Macaca fascicularis: one gene and its partners. The protein of the gene in region 1 interacts with the protein of each later gene in a pairwise test. Links are inferred from orthologs where the notes say so. Each region holds a gene or a part of one and is shown on either strand. Other genes may lie near its edges.

What was found.
Region 2: the proteins of FAM131C (region 1) and HPCAL4 interact in binary tests that used the Homo sapiens proteins (3 or more experiments, as listed by UniProt). The two-hybrid records come from large-scale screens. The link is inferred for Macaca fascicularis from reciprocal best matches to the Homo sapiens genes FAM131C and HPCAL4.
Region 3: the proteins of FAM131C (region 1) and NDN interact in a two-hybrid assay, tested with the Homo sapiens proteins (2 studies listed by BioGRID and IntAct). The link is inferred for Macaca fascicularis from reciprocal best matches to the Homo sapiens genes FAM131C and NDN.

What each region holds. Positions count from the first base shown.
Region 1 is NC_088375.1:219,027,713-219,032,413, forward strand, and holds the start of FAM131C (protein FAM131C), read left to right. Parts: upstream 1-1,706; 5' UTR 1,707-1,930; coding exon 1,931-1,952; intron 1,953-4,701.
Region 2 is NC_088375.1:195,207,998-195,212,650, reverse strand, and holds the start of HPCAL4 (hippocalcin-like protein 4), read right to left. Parts: upstream 2,928-4,653; 5' UTR 2,800-2,927; intron 1-2,799. UniProt on the Homo sapiens protein: May be involved in the calcium-dependent regulation of rhodopsin phosphorylation.
Region 3 is NC_088381.1:5,296,126-5,300,027, reverse strand, and holds NDN (necdin), read right to left. Parts: upstream 2,255-3,902; 5' UTR 2,167-2,254; coding exon 1,201-2,166; 3' UTR 628-1,200; downstream 1-627. UniProt on the Homo sapiens protein: Growth suppressor that facilitates the entry of the cell into cell cycle arrest.

The DNA.
Region 1 (4,701 bases):
ATCACACCTGTTTGTGTTCACTATCACTATTATTTAGTCTTAGTCCTAAGTTGAGTACCTACTACATGCCAGTCATTTTGCATATATTAATTTCATTAGCCCTCACAGCAATCCCATGAGGTGAGATTTTTACCCTAAGTTAACAGATGAAAAAACTGAGACTCAGAGAGGCGAAGCAACTTACCCGAGGTTACACAGCTTGTGTGAGCTAAGCCCTCATTCACCCAGGTCTGCTGATACCAGGGTCAGGCACAGAACTGCTCTCCACCTGGGATTACAGGCTTGTGCCACCATATCCAGCTTTTTTTTTTTTTTTTTTTTTTTTTTTTTTTTTTTTTGAGACGGAGTTTCTCTCTTATAGCCCAGGCTGCAGTGCAATGACATGGTCTTGGCTCACTGTAACCTCCGCCTCCTGGGTTCAAGCGATTCTCCTGCCTCAGCCTTCCAAGTAGCTGGGATTACAGGCACCCACCATCACCATGCCTGGCTGGTTTTTGTATTTTTAGTAGAGACGGGGTTTCACCATATTAGCTAGGCTGGTCTCAAACTCCTGACCTCAGGTGATCTGCCCACCTCGGCCTCCCAAAGTGCTGGGATTACAGGCGTGAGCCACGGCGCCTGGACCTTCCTTATTCATTCTTCAAAACCTTTCTCTGCCGCCACCAGCGAACCTGGCTGCCTCAACTGGAAAACAGACACAAGAGTGCCTGCCCTGCCTGATGCACAGGTGGGCGTGAAGGAGAGAGCGAGATGCCGTGTGAGAGTGAGGGTCTCAGATGCTGACACTGAGTGCTGTGCACATGGGAAATTTTGCTAAAGGATGTTCACACCTTAGGAGCTGGGATGTGTGTGTGTGTGTAAAAGCAAGGGTGCTTCAATGTGAGTGTATAACTGTCATTGTGCGGGTGTGAGTGGGTATGTACACATGGGAGACTGTGTGTATTCATGTGTAGGTATGTGAGTGTGCGTGCCTGTGTGTGAATGCAAGTGTGCATATATATGTGTGTGTATGACCATCAGTGTGTGAATGAGGGTATGTACACATGGGAGAGTGTGTGTGTAGGCATGTGCGTGTGAGTGTGAATAACTACAGAGGCCGTCCAGGGCTGGGGAAAAAAACCCATGCCTCAGTTTACTTTGCCCTAGACAAGCCCTGAGAGGCAGCCTTGCCCCCCTCTTCAACCATCGCTGGAGACCTTCATCCAGCTGCCAGGCCGCCAGCGCACTATCTACCCCCACTCTCTCTACCCCACCTCTGGGCATATATTATTTTGCGTATGTTAATTTCAATCGCTCTGAATGAGGCGTTGACAGTCAAAAGTCGCTGAACTCACAGTTTAGGGCTCTCAGGCAAGGCCTCTAACTTCTATGAGGCTCACTTTCATCCTCTGCAAAATGGGCCCAACGGAACTGTTGTTCTTGTGCACACCCCTCCTCGCCCCCAAGCCCTCGTGCCCAGTCGTCGCTGTTGTGGTTAAATTCATGTTGTTTACTTTGTGCCCCAAATGCCAGGAGTCTCCCCGCCCCCTCCTTCCCCTTCCCTGACCTTCAGCCCGGGCAATCCCTGGAGGTGCGGGAGGCCCGAAGGGACAGAAGTGGCCCTCCTGCGCGCCGCGGCCACAGGTGCGCCCAGGCCTCCGGGCTGCGCTCCCCCGGGCCCCGCCCGCCGCGCCCCGCGGTGTCGCCCTCCCCTGGCAGCGGCGGGCGCTGCGCGGGAGGCAGCGGCGCGGGAGGCGGCGGCGCGAGGCGAGCCGGGCGCGGCGGCAGCGGGGACGACCGGGGCTGTAGTTGAGGCCAAGCCAAGGGCGCCCGAGCCCCCCGCCCGGCGCGTCCTCTGACTGCGCAGTGCTCAGCTCCGGGCCCGCGGAGACATGAACGCCCCGCGGCCTCACGCACCCCGGGCGCAGCGGCCCGGCCCCGCGGCCCCGTGATGGGCTCCTGCGTGTCGCGAGGTGAGGGGGCTCGGCCGGGGGTGGGGGGATCGGGCGCCGGGGACCGGTACAGTCCCCTCGCCGCTGGGAGACCTGGGGGGTGGGGCTGGTGACCCGCCCTTCACAGCCCGGCCGCACCCCCGAGGACGCGGCGTCCTGAAGGGGACAGGGCTGGGGACGGTGGGGGGCGGGGAGCAGCCCAAAGAGTGCACGTGCAGAGCTCACTGCATCCCCGCCCCGGTTTGCAGCCCCGCAGGTGACACGAAGCAGGGTCCAGTGCCGCGCTCTCATCCCTACAGCCACACACCCCCTGCCGGGTGCCTGGGAGGGGAGGGAGGCTCCGGTTCTTCCTGGCTTCGCGGAGGAACTGCGGGGCACGGGGAGAACTAGCAGACCCTCCCCGTCCCACCCTTCACCAAGACACAGGCCTTGCCAGCTCACCCCCACAGCCCCTTCCCACGTCTTACCGGGTGCCCCCATCTGCAGAGTCCCTGAACGCTGTTGTCAGGAAAGGGTTAATGGTGGGGAACAGGTTATAAAGAAGGTTCCCCTGCCCCCACCCTTATCCCTAATCCTCCTCCCCACCCCCATCCTTGGTCAGGGGACAGAAGGGCCAGAGCACAGCTGATGTTCCCAGTTACCGCCTGGGTCTTTCTCTCTTGTGTCTGACCTGTCACCCTCTGCTCTCCCTGAGGTGGTACCCAGGGAGGTGGAGGGACCTGCCCTTGCCTGGGGGACCAGGGCAGGCCCTGGCCTCTTCTATCGGTGAGTAGGGGACACAGAGTCTTGCACAGAGATTGGGGGATGGGCAGGTTGGTCTTTGGAGCCCCCTACCTCCACCCCCACCCATCACCACCAGCTTTCCAACAGGCCGCTGGGCAACATTTTAGACAAGCGATTGGGCTGAGCTCTTCTCCCACCTTGGTCTGTTCACCCCACAGTGGGATCAGGGGGGTGTGGCTGGGAGTGGGGGTGGCTTTGGCCTTGGTTCAGGCTCTGCAGGCTGAGGCCAAACCCACTGACCACCACCACACCCATCAACCCTAGTAGCTTACCCAGAATAGAGGGGACCTTGTCCTGGGGGTATTGAGCAGGGAGCATAACGCCCTTCCCCTCAGGAGTTCCTGTGGGCATTCAGGTAAGTGGCTCAGGATGTCTCTGGGAGGAATCGCGGCTGGGGAAGGGGAAGGTACAGGGTTAGGCTGTGTGAGGTTCCTTTACTTATCTATGCATTAAGCTGATATTAACATGATAGCTGCCATGTGCCAGGCACCGTGTGCATGCTGGGCATCCAGCAGCAAGGAACCCAGCACAGCACCTAGTCCATGAGGCCTGCAGCCTAGCAGGAGGGGAAGGGAGTTTGAAGAGTGAGGAGTGCTAAGGATTCTTTAGGAGCACCAGGCTCCAGAAACCCCAAAGGTTCTAGGCAGTCTCTGGCTCCAGGTGGAGGGGATCTGAGTGTTTCCTCAGTGGCCAGGTCCCTTCCCCTTCATTTGGCCACCCCATGCCAGGCACCTTGGGATCCCAGCCCCAGTGGACTGGCCTTTGAGCTGAGGACCCACTGAGCACGGGACAGAGGCTGAAGAGGAAGAGACGCCTGCTAAGGTCACCCTGAGAGGCTGGGGCCCAGGTCCTCTGACCCCACACCTGGGGGTCCCTCCACTGCCCCCTCTGCCAGGGCTCTTTGGGGCCACAGCAGCCAAGATGCGCTCCCTCCACCCTTCCTTCTGCAGCCTGGGCTTCCCCAGTGCCCCCCAGATCTAGTTGTATAGTCCAGCCTTGTCCCCCTCCTGAGAAGATGGGGCCCTTGACAGTCTCAACATGCACCCAAAAAGTTGGATTGAGGTGAAAATAGTATGGGGAGCCACGTGGGCAGGGGACGGCCAGGGTCCCAGAGACTCTGGGTGGCTGCATCACTGACCCACCCAGCTCTCTCCTCCTCACTGATGCTCTCCGAGCGCATACTAGTCTGAAAGTTTTAGGCAGATAAAGCTAGTTTGGGTTATATATGAACACAGTCCCCGTCTTACGAGTGGGAAAACAGAGGCAGAGGGCAGTGGAGAGACTTGTCCAGGGCCACACAGCTAGGAAAGGATAAGCCAAGATTTAAACCACAGCATGCTGACTCCACAGGCTGGGGCCTCAGTCTCTGCACTCACAGCCAGCCCTCGGCCCTGGTGCCTGCACCTGTTTACTCTCCTGGAGCTGCAGGCTCCTGTGGGCTCCTGTGCCCCCACCTGGCCCCTGCACCGGCAATCGATTGCTAATCGCAGCCTCTGAGTGCTGAGTGCCTCCTAGGCCAGGTAGGCACTGCTGCAGAAGGAAGGGTGAAGGGAGTGCGTCCACCCTTGGCCAAGGCCAAGGATTGCAGGCCTCAGGCTGATGCCCATACTGAGCCCAGAGCTTGCACCCAGCCGGGGCCATCCAGCCAAACCCCAAAACCTAGGTCAGGCCACACCTGGGAAAATCACCCCATCCCAGCATTGGCAGCAGTTAGCATCTGCATACTTGGTAGAGAGGCTAGGAGTGCAGTATAGGAAGCAGGGCTCCACCATTTACTAGCTCTGTGACCTCAGCAAGTGACTTGACCTTGTGTGTGTATCTCAGTGTTCCCATCTCTAAAATGGGAATTATAATATTATTGATGTCATAGGGTTGCTGGGCGGACTAAATGGCTTAATTCATGTAAGGCATTCAGACCAGTACCCAACACATAGTAAGCACTCGTACATATTAGCTATCGCTCTCATTTTTACTTTTAATGTTAATA
Region 2 (4,653 bases), about 24 Mb from region 1:
ACTATGCTCTTGCCCATGGGGCTTCCCTGCCTGGCAGGAAGTGCCTTTCTTTTGATTCCTCTGTTAGGAGGGAATGGCTTTTTCCCCCCAAAAGGTACAATATAAGCTAGAAGTAGCCATGCCCATGGGTCCCCTGAAGCTCCAGAATCCTCTAGAATCTGGTCTCAAAGTGCCCACCTATCTAGCCTCAGCTCTCATTGCTTACCTCACCACCAAATACTCCTCTCAAGCCAGCCTTCTCACAGCCAGACACGCCTCACCTCTTTGCTAAGCTATTTTCCTCTCCCCTAATATCCTTTCTTCTCTCCTGGGCTATAATCAGTCTTCAGGGCCTGGTTGAAGCCTGCTTCCTTATGATCAGCCTTTTCCAGTCTGGACAGTGGAGAGTCAGCAGCCTGGGCTGAGCACTTTGGGCATGAGTCAGTCCCCCACAAGCATGTAGACTTCAGAGCTCTCTGACCCTCACCTGGTGCTGTAGAATCCCAGGATGCAGTCTGACTTGAGACAGGTCTTTGCATCAAACCCCTGTCTGAGTCAGAAAAAAACTCTCCAGACCTTTTTGCTCAATGGCAAGGAGTTGATCCCCTCCAATATGCCCCAGTCCACTTTTGAGCAGGTTGAAGGGTGAGAAAAGTTTATTTTTCCCATGGGGGAAATAAAAGTGCTTTTCCCTATGCACTCACTTCTCTCAGTTGAGTGCTTAGTCCTCACTGGGTCTGGGACCCATAAAAGCAGGGGGTTTTCTCTCTTATAGCTCCCCTACCCTGGTTCCCACCCTGCCTTCTGTGCCTACACAGAACTGCCCTGCGGAGACATAGTGGCAATGCCTAGGACACAGTGATGTTCAATGAATGTCTCTTGGTGGATTACATAAGAGGAGCAGAAACCCCTTCTTCCTCCCTGGATCTATGTCAGGCTGTTTTGTTTATCTGCGTTCTTCTGCTCTCACACCCACTTCAGAGACAATGGAACCCAGACCTAGGGAAAGGAAGGGTTCACCCAAGGTCGACTATAGCCCATCAGCAGCAAAGTGAAGGCCAGAACCCAGCTGGGGACAATGCTCTGCTGGAGCTGTGGCCCTGCTGACCCTGGGCAGGCTTCTCTGCTTACTTCTTGAGGGCTATCCTCCAGCTGTGAAGGAGCTGAGACTGCCCCATACACAAAACCACTGCCCCAGCATGCCCAGAGGGTTCTTCAAGAGGGCTAAGGGCTGTGGGGCTTGAATGGAGAGGTGGCTGAGGCTTTGAATGGGAGGGACTGAAGGAAGCAATAATCCCACACCCTCACCCAGCTTCAGAGGAGCGGGTGCTGAGGCGGTTGCCATAGTGACAGTAGCTCCCTGGTCAGGAGATTTTCTTTTTCCTCTCCTCCCTTTGCTCTTCCCCAAGCAGCAGCAATAGCAGCAGCAACCAGGTCTTTTCCCTCTCCTTCTTAATGAGAGGCGGGGGATGACAAACAAAGAGTAAGCCCTGATGGTCACCTTCAATTTGGAGCTGTCCATGTCAGGATGGGCTAGTGGTCTAGGAGGGACTCCTAATAGAAGGGTCCTAGAGAGTGTGTAGGAGGAGGTAGCCTGTACCTAGGCTTAGGTAAGAAAGAATGTGCCTTCAGTGAGTTCTAAACCAACCCCGCCCCCCTCAGGCCTCCTCTCTTTAATGTCCTCTTGGTTCAGGGTTCTGTTTTTCCATAATCAGCCATAGAACCAGGGTGTCTTAGTACCAGAAGGCTGTTCAAGTTCATCTCACCCAGTCTACCCTCTCTCTTATACTCCTCCCCATTTTCATGAAGGATCAGAGAGGGAAGTGACTTGGCCAAAGTCAAACTTTGGCTGTGCAAGATTTGAACCCAGCTCATCTGCCCTCCAGGTACAGTCCACTTTAGGGCCAGGAGCAACACAGCCCACATGGCACTTTGGCAGGGTCCCCACGGAGCAGCAGGAAGATGGAGAGAGGGAGCAAATAGTCATACAAATTAGAGAGATATTTGACAGGCAGAATGAGAGGACTTGGTGCCTGGCTGTGAGCAGGGAGGGAGGAGGTATGGAGGTTGGGGCCTTGGCAGCAACTGGACTGACAGGGCATGGGTGGTCTGCTGGGCGTGGTGTCCTTGGTTCATCCTCCTGCCAGCATGAGAGTTGCCAAATATGGGGCCTCTGCCTAGCACTGGGGGCCACTGAGGAGGGCTGTCGAGACTGTCTGTGAGGAGAAAAACTGGGGAAGGGGCATTGTCCCTCCCTCAGGTATGCTGTGGTCTCTGTCAGCTTGAGGGGTGGTAAGTGGGGACAGTGTCTGGGGACAAGGAGAAGGCAGCGCTCTGTGGAGGGGGAGGCTGTCTTTGGGGGCAGGGGCTCCCTGATGAAAAGTGGCTAGGGGCTATCTGTGGAGGTGGGAGTTTGCCATGGGGCTGGACAGACAACCCATATCCAAACAGAAGGGAGGGTGACCAGCGCCTGGAGCTAGCACCAGCGCCACCACACCCCCAGATGTATGTGTGTGCATCTGTGTGCGTGTGTGTGTGTACGCGTCTATGTTGGGGGCCAGAGCAATGGTTGTTCTCACCTGAGCTGGGGATAAGGAGGCAGCTCTGCCTCCTCCTCTGCACCCATGGGCCTGGACTGAGGTGGGCGGTCTCCTGCCCAGGGGTGGGTTCTTCAGTTGCTGCCGCCTAAGGCGGAACCACAGGTCGGGGAGTTGAATCAGGGCAGGACATGAGGATGGGAAGGGAGAGTGGAGGGGGAGGGGGTCAGGGCCTCCACCGGGTGGGGTTGTTGCCTTGAGGATCCGGTCCCACTCGCATTACCTGAGGCCGCTCGCCGGGTCGCTGGATGGCTCCGAGCCTCGGCGGGCCGCGGGGACCGAGACTGGCTCCCGGGCCGGCAGCTGTGCTCTCCGAGGTCCGCGCCGGAGCCGCCTCCCAGATCTTGTATCACTATGTGCCTCCCGAAGGCGACACGTTTTGCATAAGCCCCGCCCCATCCCGGGCAGGTTGCACGGCTATTGGCTCCTCTGGAGCGGAGTGGCAGGCGGGGTTTCAGGTGGGGACCGGGTGGCCAGCGAGGCCCGGCCGCAGGAGCGCGCCCCGCCTGCCCGCGCTGACCTTCCCGGACTCGCCGGGAAGCGGGAGGGCTGCACCCCCATCTGCACCCCTGCCCTGAGGCTCAGCCCCCGGCTTACAGGTCTGGGGTGAAAAGGGTCGACGATGGAAGTGGATTCTCAAAAACAACCTCACCGTTGCTATGGAAACGGGAGAACCACAGCCGAATCTCTAAGCTTCCTTTCCTGGGCCCCAGTATGGGTGGGGGCGGAAGAGGGGATGAATCACAGATGAGACCCCCCCCTCCATATCCCAGCCGAAATTGGAGGGGGGCAATGAGGAGCTGCGGAGGAGCTGGGTGGGAGAGGGAGGAGGGGGGTGGTCAGCAGTCCACGCCACTGCGTCCCCCCTCCCCACGCACCCACTCCCTTCACGCCGTGGGGCAGAGAAGAAGGTGCTGGGTGCGCGCGAAGAGCTTGGTATGGGTGGCGAAGTCCCCAGACTCTACCTAGCCCCGCGCTAGTCGTGGGTTCCCTCCAGCCACCCCTCCAGCCCTTCATTCCGGTCCCTCCCCAGACGGGCCCTCCTCCTTTCTCACGGACCCCAAAGAGGCCTCTCGCGTTCTCCCCCAGAAGGACCCCTATGCCTACCCATGGATCCTCCATTCCCCACCCTCCCGTCTTCCCGTCCCGTAGACAGAGCCGGTCCCCAGCCGCCGCCAGTCTCCGGCCTCGGATGTTGACACAAACCCGAGGCGGTTTACACTGAGCGGGTCTGGAAGCTTTCAGGGCCCCGGCAACACCTCCTCCCCGCACTCGGGGGTCTCCCCAAAGCCCGGCCCGGCCGCCTGGGCTGCACTGGCGTCTGAGAGCTCCTGACACAAGGTGGTTGGAAGGAACCCTTTTAAGCCAAACTGGGGGCAAAAGGGGAGCAGATATCCCCGGGCTGGGCCACGTGCGGGGAAGGGACTTCTAAGGATCTGTCAAAAGTCGGGGCAGGCGGCTGGGGATTGGCCTAATGGGAGCGCGGACGCTGAAGAGCAGCGGTGAGAGGCGGGGCTTCTGTCCGCGCGGCGAAGGTAGAGGTGGGCGGGGCGGGACGATGGGGGATGGGGTCAGACCTGCTGCGAGCGGGGGCGAGGCTTCTGGAGCTGGTCCCAGAAACGCCTGGGCCAGGCTCGCTGGGGGAGGAACCCGTCGACGTCCCTTTTCTTTAGGAACTGTCTCGTTGCCCCTTGAAACGGTTTTGCTCTACCATTCTTGCGGCTGCGGGCTATGCCTTCTCTCTGAGGCCTTAGCAGGGGGCTGAGGGCTTCAAAGAACCTGCAGCTGAAGGAGGAGGGGCATCCTTGGCACTATGGGTTGGTGACTTCTGAAAGACAGGTGTTTGAAGTTCTAAATCTTTCACTTCCCTGATACCTTCTCAGCTCTGGGTCTTGGGGACCCAGAGATGAGCAAGAACCCCCTTGCTCACAGTTAACCATAATCCAAGGTGTGAAGAAGTGGGGAGAGGCAGCACGGGTTACTAGAAGTGGTATCTGAAACCCTAACACTGACTGACCCAAGTTCACACTGCTAACATTGAGTCTCATTTTTGCCGATGATTCCATTTATGACCATG
Region 3 (3,902 bases), on another chromosome or scaffold:
ATGTGAGTGTGGGCTCCCACATGAAATTTCAATATAAAGTTGAAAATAAATAACCTAAAAACCACAGGGTGTAGGGGAGTTGAAGGCAGGTGGGGACAAATGTGGACTCTGGATTCATTGTGAGTTCTAGTCCTAGCGCCTTCTCTTATTAACCTGTATGAGCTATGGAAAGTCCATTACCTACATTATTCCTGTGTTTCCTCCATGGTGCAGAGGCAGTTCTTGCCTGCCTGACAGGCCTGTTGTGAGGATTAGATAAAAGGAGAAAAATACACGTCAGGGCTCATGTACAATGTCTCACTCTTTAAGTGCCCACAAAGCATCTATTAATTTTGATAAAATGTAGAAACTTAAGGAAATTATTTTTGGTTTTTATTCCCATAGGATGTGATTATGGACAATCTTACTGTTTTGTTTTTTATGCTTTTCTATATTTGTGCATGTTTTTGAAATAAACATGAGTTAAAGACAAAACCACAAACTTCACAAATTTAGGAGTAATCATGAGTAGCGATTTTTCCCACCCCATTAGGGGAAACAGTTATATCTGTGTATACTGTAAAACAGAGAATTGTCTCATTCCCAACCATACTGCTTTGTTAAAATGATAACGTACACTTCCAGAAATGATTGTATCACAAGAATCTTTAATGTTTACTTTAAAGTTGACTCACGGTGGGGTTGTATATGTGTTTAGTAAAGTGTGCCAAGTGCTCTCACATTGAGACCAGTCCAGTTCAAATTAGTTTACGCCACGAGGATGTTTTCAGTCCCCAGCAAGGTCATGAGGGCCTTGACATTTCTTGGTTAGGCCGGCTTTGCTGGTGAGTTTTTCCAAACTCTGCAGGAGCAGTCTACCCCAACACACATCTCAGTCCCATGTAAATTAATAAGATGGAAACGTTCTCAATGTACTTCATCAGTTTAGCACGTCTCTGATACAAAAATCCAAGAAAGGTACCACAAAAGCGAAAGCACCAACCAAGCTTACATATAAACAAACATGCATACATCCTAAATACTACACAATAGTACCCAAATGAATACAACATTGCATTAAAGGTATAAAAGCACTGTACTGGAAACGTAAAAGTTACACGTGAATACTGCACTGTAAATCCTGAACACTCTAATGACCCACCCCCACCCTTCCACAGCCCTGGTGAGGATCAGAAAGCATTCATCTGCCTCCAGACTTGGCTAGTCCTCGGAGACACTGCTGCGAGGGCAGTGGGCAGCGGGATTAGCCTCCCGCAGAGCTCTGGCCTCCTCTAGAGCCTCTCTGTATCGGGAGGGCCAGGCCTGGGGGTCTTTCTTAAAGACCCTGGCCAGGAACTCCATGATTTGCAGCTTGGTGATTTCGCGGCTGGCCCGGGAGCCCCAGAAGAACTCGTACTCGGGCGGCTCCACGTACGGGACGCGCTGGTACTTCAGGTAATTCTGCTGGACGAACTCCTCAGTGATGAGCTTCCGCACGTCCCCGAAGGTGGAGTGCTTCTTCCAGGGCCGCAGCCCCAGGATGCGGAGCACGTTCCAGACCGCGCTCTCTCTGGCGCCGCGGCCCTTCACGTAGATGAGGCTCAGGATCATGAGGAGGAGACCTGTCATGGGCATGCGGTTGCTCAGCGCCACCCTGTCCAGCTCCTCGGGCTCCAGCGCTTTGACCAGCGCAAACTCCATGGTGTGCAGGCTGGTTAGCCTCAGGTGCAGCCCGAACACCCGGGCGAGGATGAGGCTGGTGCGCCGGAGGATGCTCCTGCACCACTTCTTGTAGCTGCCGATGACATCTTTCACCATGTCTGGAAACCAGATGATCATCTTCTTCTGGTCCTTGACCAGCACGTACCACATGAGCTCGTGCGCCTTCTGCACCAGCTGCGCCGGGGCTGGCGGGGCCGGGCCGGGCTGGGCCGCGCTCGGGGCCTGGTGGGCGCGGCCCTCCTCCGCGGCCTGCTGCAGGGCCTTCGGGTCGTCCTCGTCGCTCGGGGCCTGGGGAGGCTGCGCGGCCTGCGGGGCGGCCGTCGGGCCTAAAGGAGGGCTCTGCGGCTCTGCCAGGGTCTCGGACGGAGGAACCCCCTCCGGAACCCCAGGGCTGCTGTGCACCTCGGAGCTGGGGGCCTCGGCTGCAAAGTTAGGGTCGCTTAGATCCTTACTTTGTTCTGACATATCTGCGCCGTCTGGCAAGGGCAGGGCCTCTGCGTCCAGGAGCTCTTCAAGCCTGCGCTCCCTCCGCGGATTCCTGGAGAGGAAGTGCGCGTTGCTGTGCGCGGCGCCTTCCGCAGCGGCGGGCAGGGCGGGGCGGCGGCGGGACGCGGCACTGCGCCTGCGCGACTGCGGCCTTGGCCAGCGGCTGGGGGCGGGCGGGGCAGCGCGGAGCCCCGACGGGGAGGGTCCCTGGCTAAGCTTCACCTGCGGAGAGAGCGATCCCGGGGTTTCCCGTTTGGGCTGAGGGGATCTAGGGCAGGAGAAGAGTGCGATGGATGCGTACTGGAGAAGGGGCCAGTTTAGGAGAAAGATGATAACTTAAGTTTTTGGGATGTTGGGGTCAAGTTTCTTGGGAAACGCTTACCTGATATATCCAGAATTAAGTTAAATATGAGCGTCCCAGAGAAAGGTCTGGGCGGCTGTGTAAACTTGAGCTTTATGCGAACGAGTGAGAGGAACAGTCGGGCTTGTCCAAGAAAATGTGTAAAGTGTATGTCTGAGGTTGGAATCCTGAGAAATTCCAATAAAAAATGATTGACTCCCTCCCTACCAAATCAGAGGGGTTGTAAGAAAAGGAGAAATGCAGCGTGTCCTTAACGTAATTTCCTGTCAACCCATGTGAACTATGAACCTTTTAAGTAGGCAGCGGACTTAGAGCATCATTAATGCTTTAGTGGGCATAAATTTGGGTTTTACATTTCCTTTGGGTCACTTTGATTCCATTTTATTTTTTTCCATACTTAGTCCATAGCAGAAGGATTGCTATATCTTTTAGCACAAACTTGTATGATAATGTCTTTTTCCCTCTGCCCAGCACCCTTATTCTCCGATTCACCTTCTCCCAGGACCCTCTCTGAAGCTACTGAGTCCTCCACGTTGGAAGCCACACCCAAGTCCTTCCTGAGATTTAAAAAAAAAAACAACTAGGTCTCATAGGTAATATCTGGTAGTGTCTCTGAGATGACCCAAGGGTAGCAGGGGCAACATGGGTAACCCTGTTTTCCAAGTATAGAAGACAGATTCCCACTGGGCAAAGACAAAACTCGCTCCTACAGGCTCTCCATGAAAAAAGGGTCATTGGTGGAGCCTCTGAAACCAAGGGCCTTGATGCTGCTTCAGCATCCTTGGTCTGGGCTGATGTGGTCCTTCAGCGCTTCCAGGGTTTCTTCTCATCAGTAGCTTCTTAAATATGTTGAGTCTAATTATTGCCACTCGAAGCCAAAAGCACATTTAAAAATTGTCTTAACATGTCTAGAGTCCTCGCTGTGAGTATATATCTTTTCCCACTTGTCACTTTATTTTTCCTCAAGCAGGTTGATGTTGAAGGGTTTTCTGTGCTCTCTCTCTTTGGGTTTGCATGCACATAACACTTTTGGCAGAGCCATTCCCACACCAGTCCTTCCAACAGGCTCTTTAGCTTCCCACTTCACCAGGGTAATTCCTAGATATCAGTCTTAGTTGGAATTATTTCAACACTTTTCTCCTTCTCCTCTTCCTCCTCCACCTCGTCCTTCTTCTCTCCGTCTCCTTCTCCTTCTCCTTCCTCTATTTATGGATATTTACCACTTTCTTGGGAGCATCTTACAGAAATATGCTAATTCATTGTTTTGTAATCCCAGCACTTTGGGAGGCCGACACGGGCCGATCACAAGGTCAGGAGATCGAGACCATCCTGGCAAACACGGTGAAACCCCGTC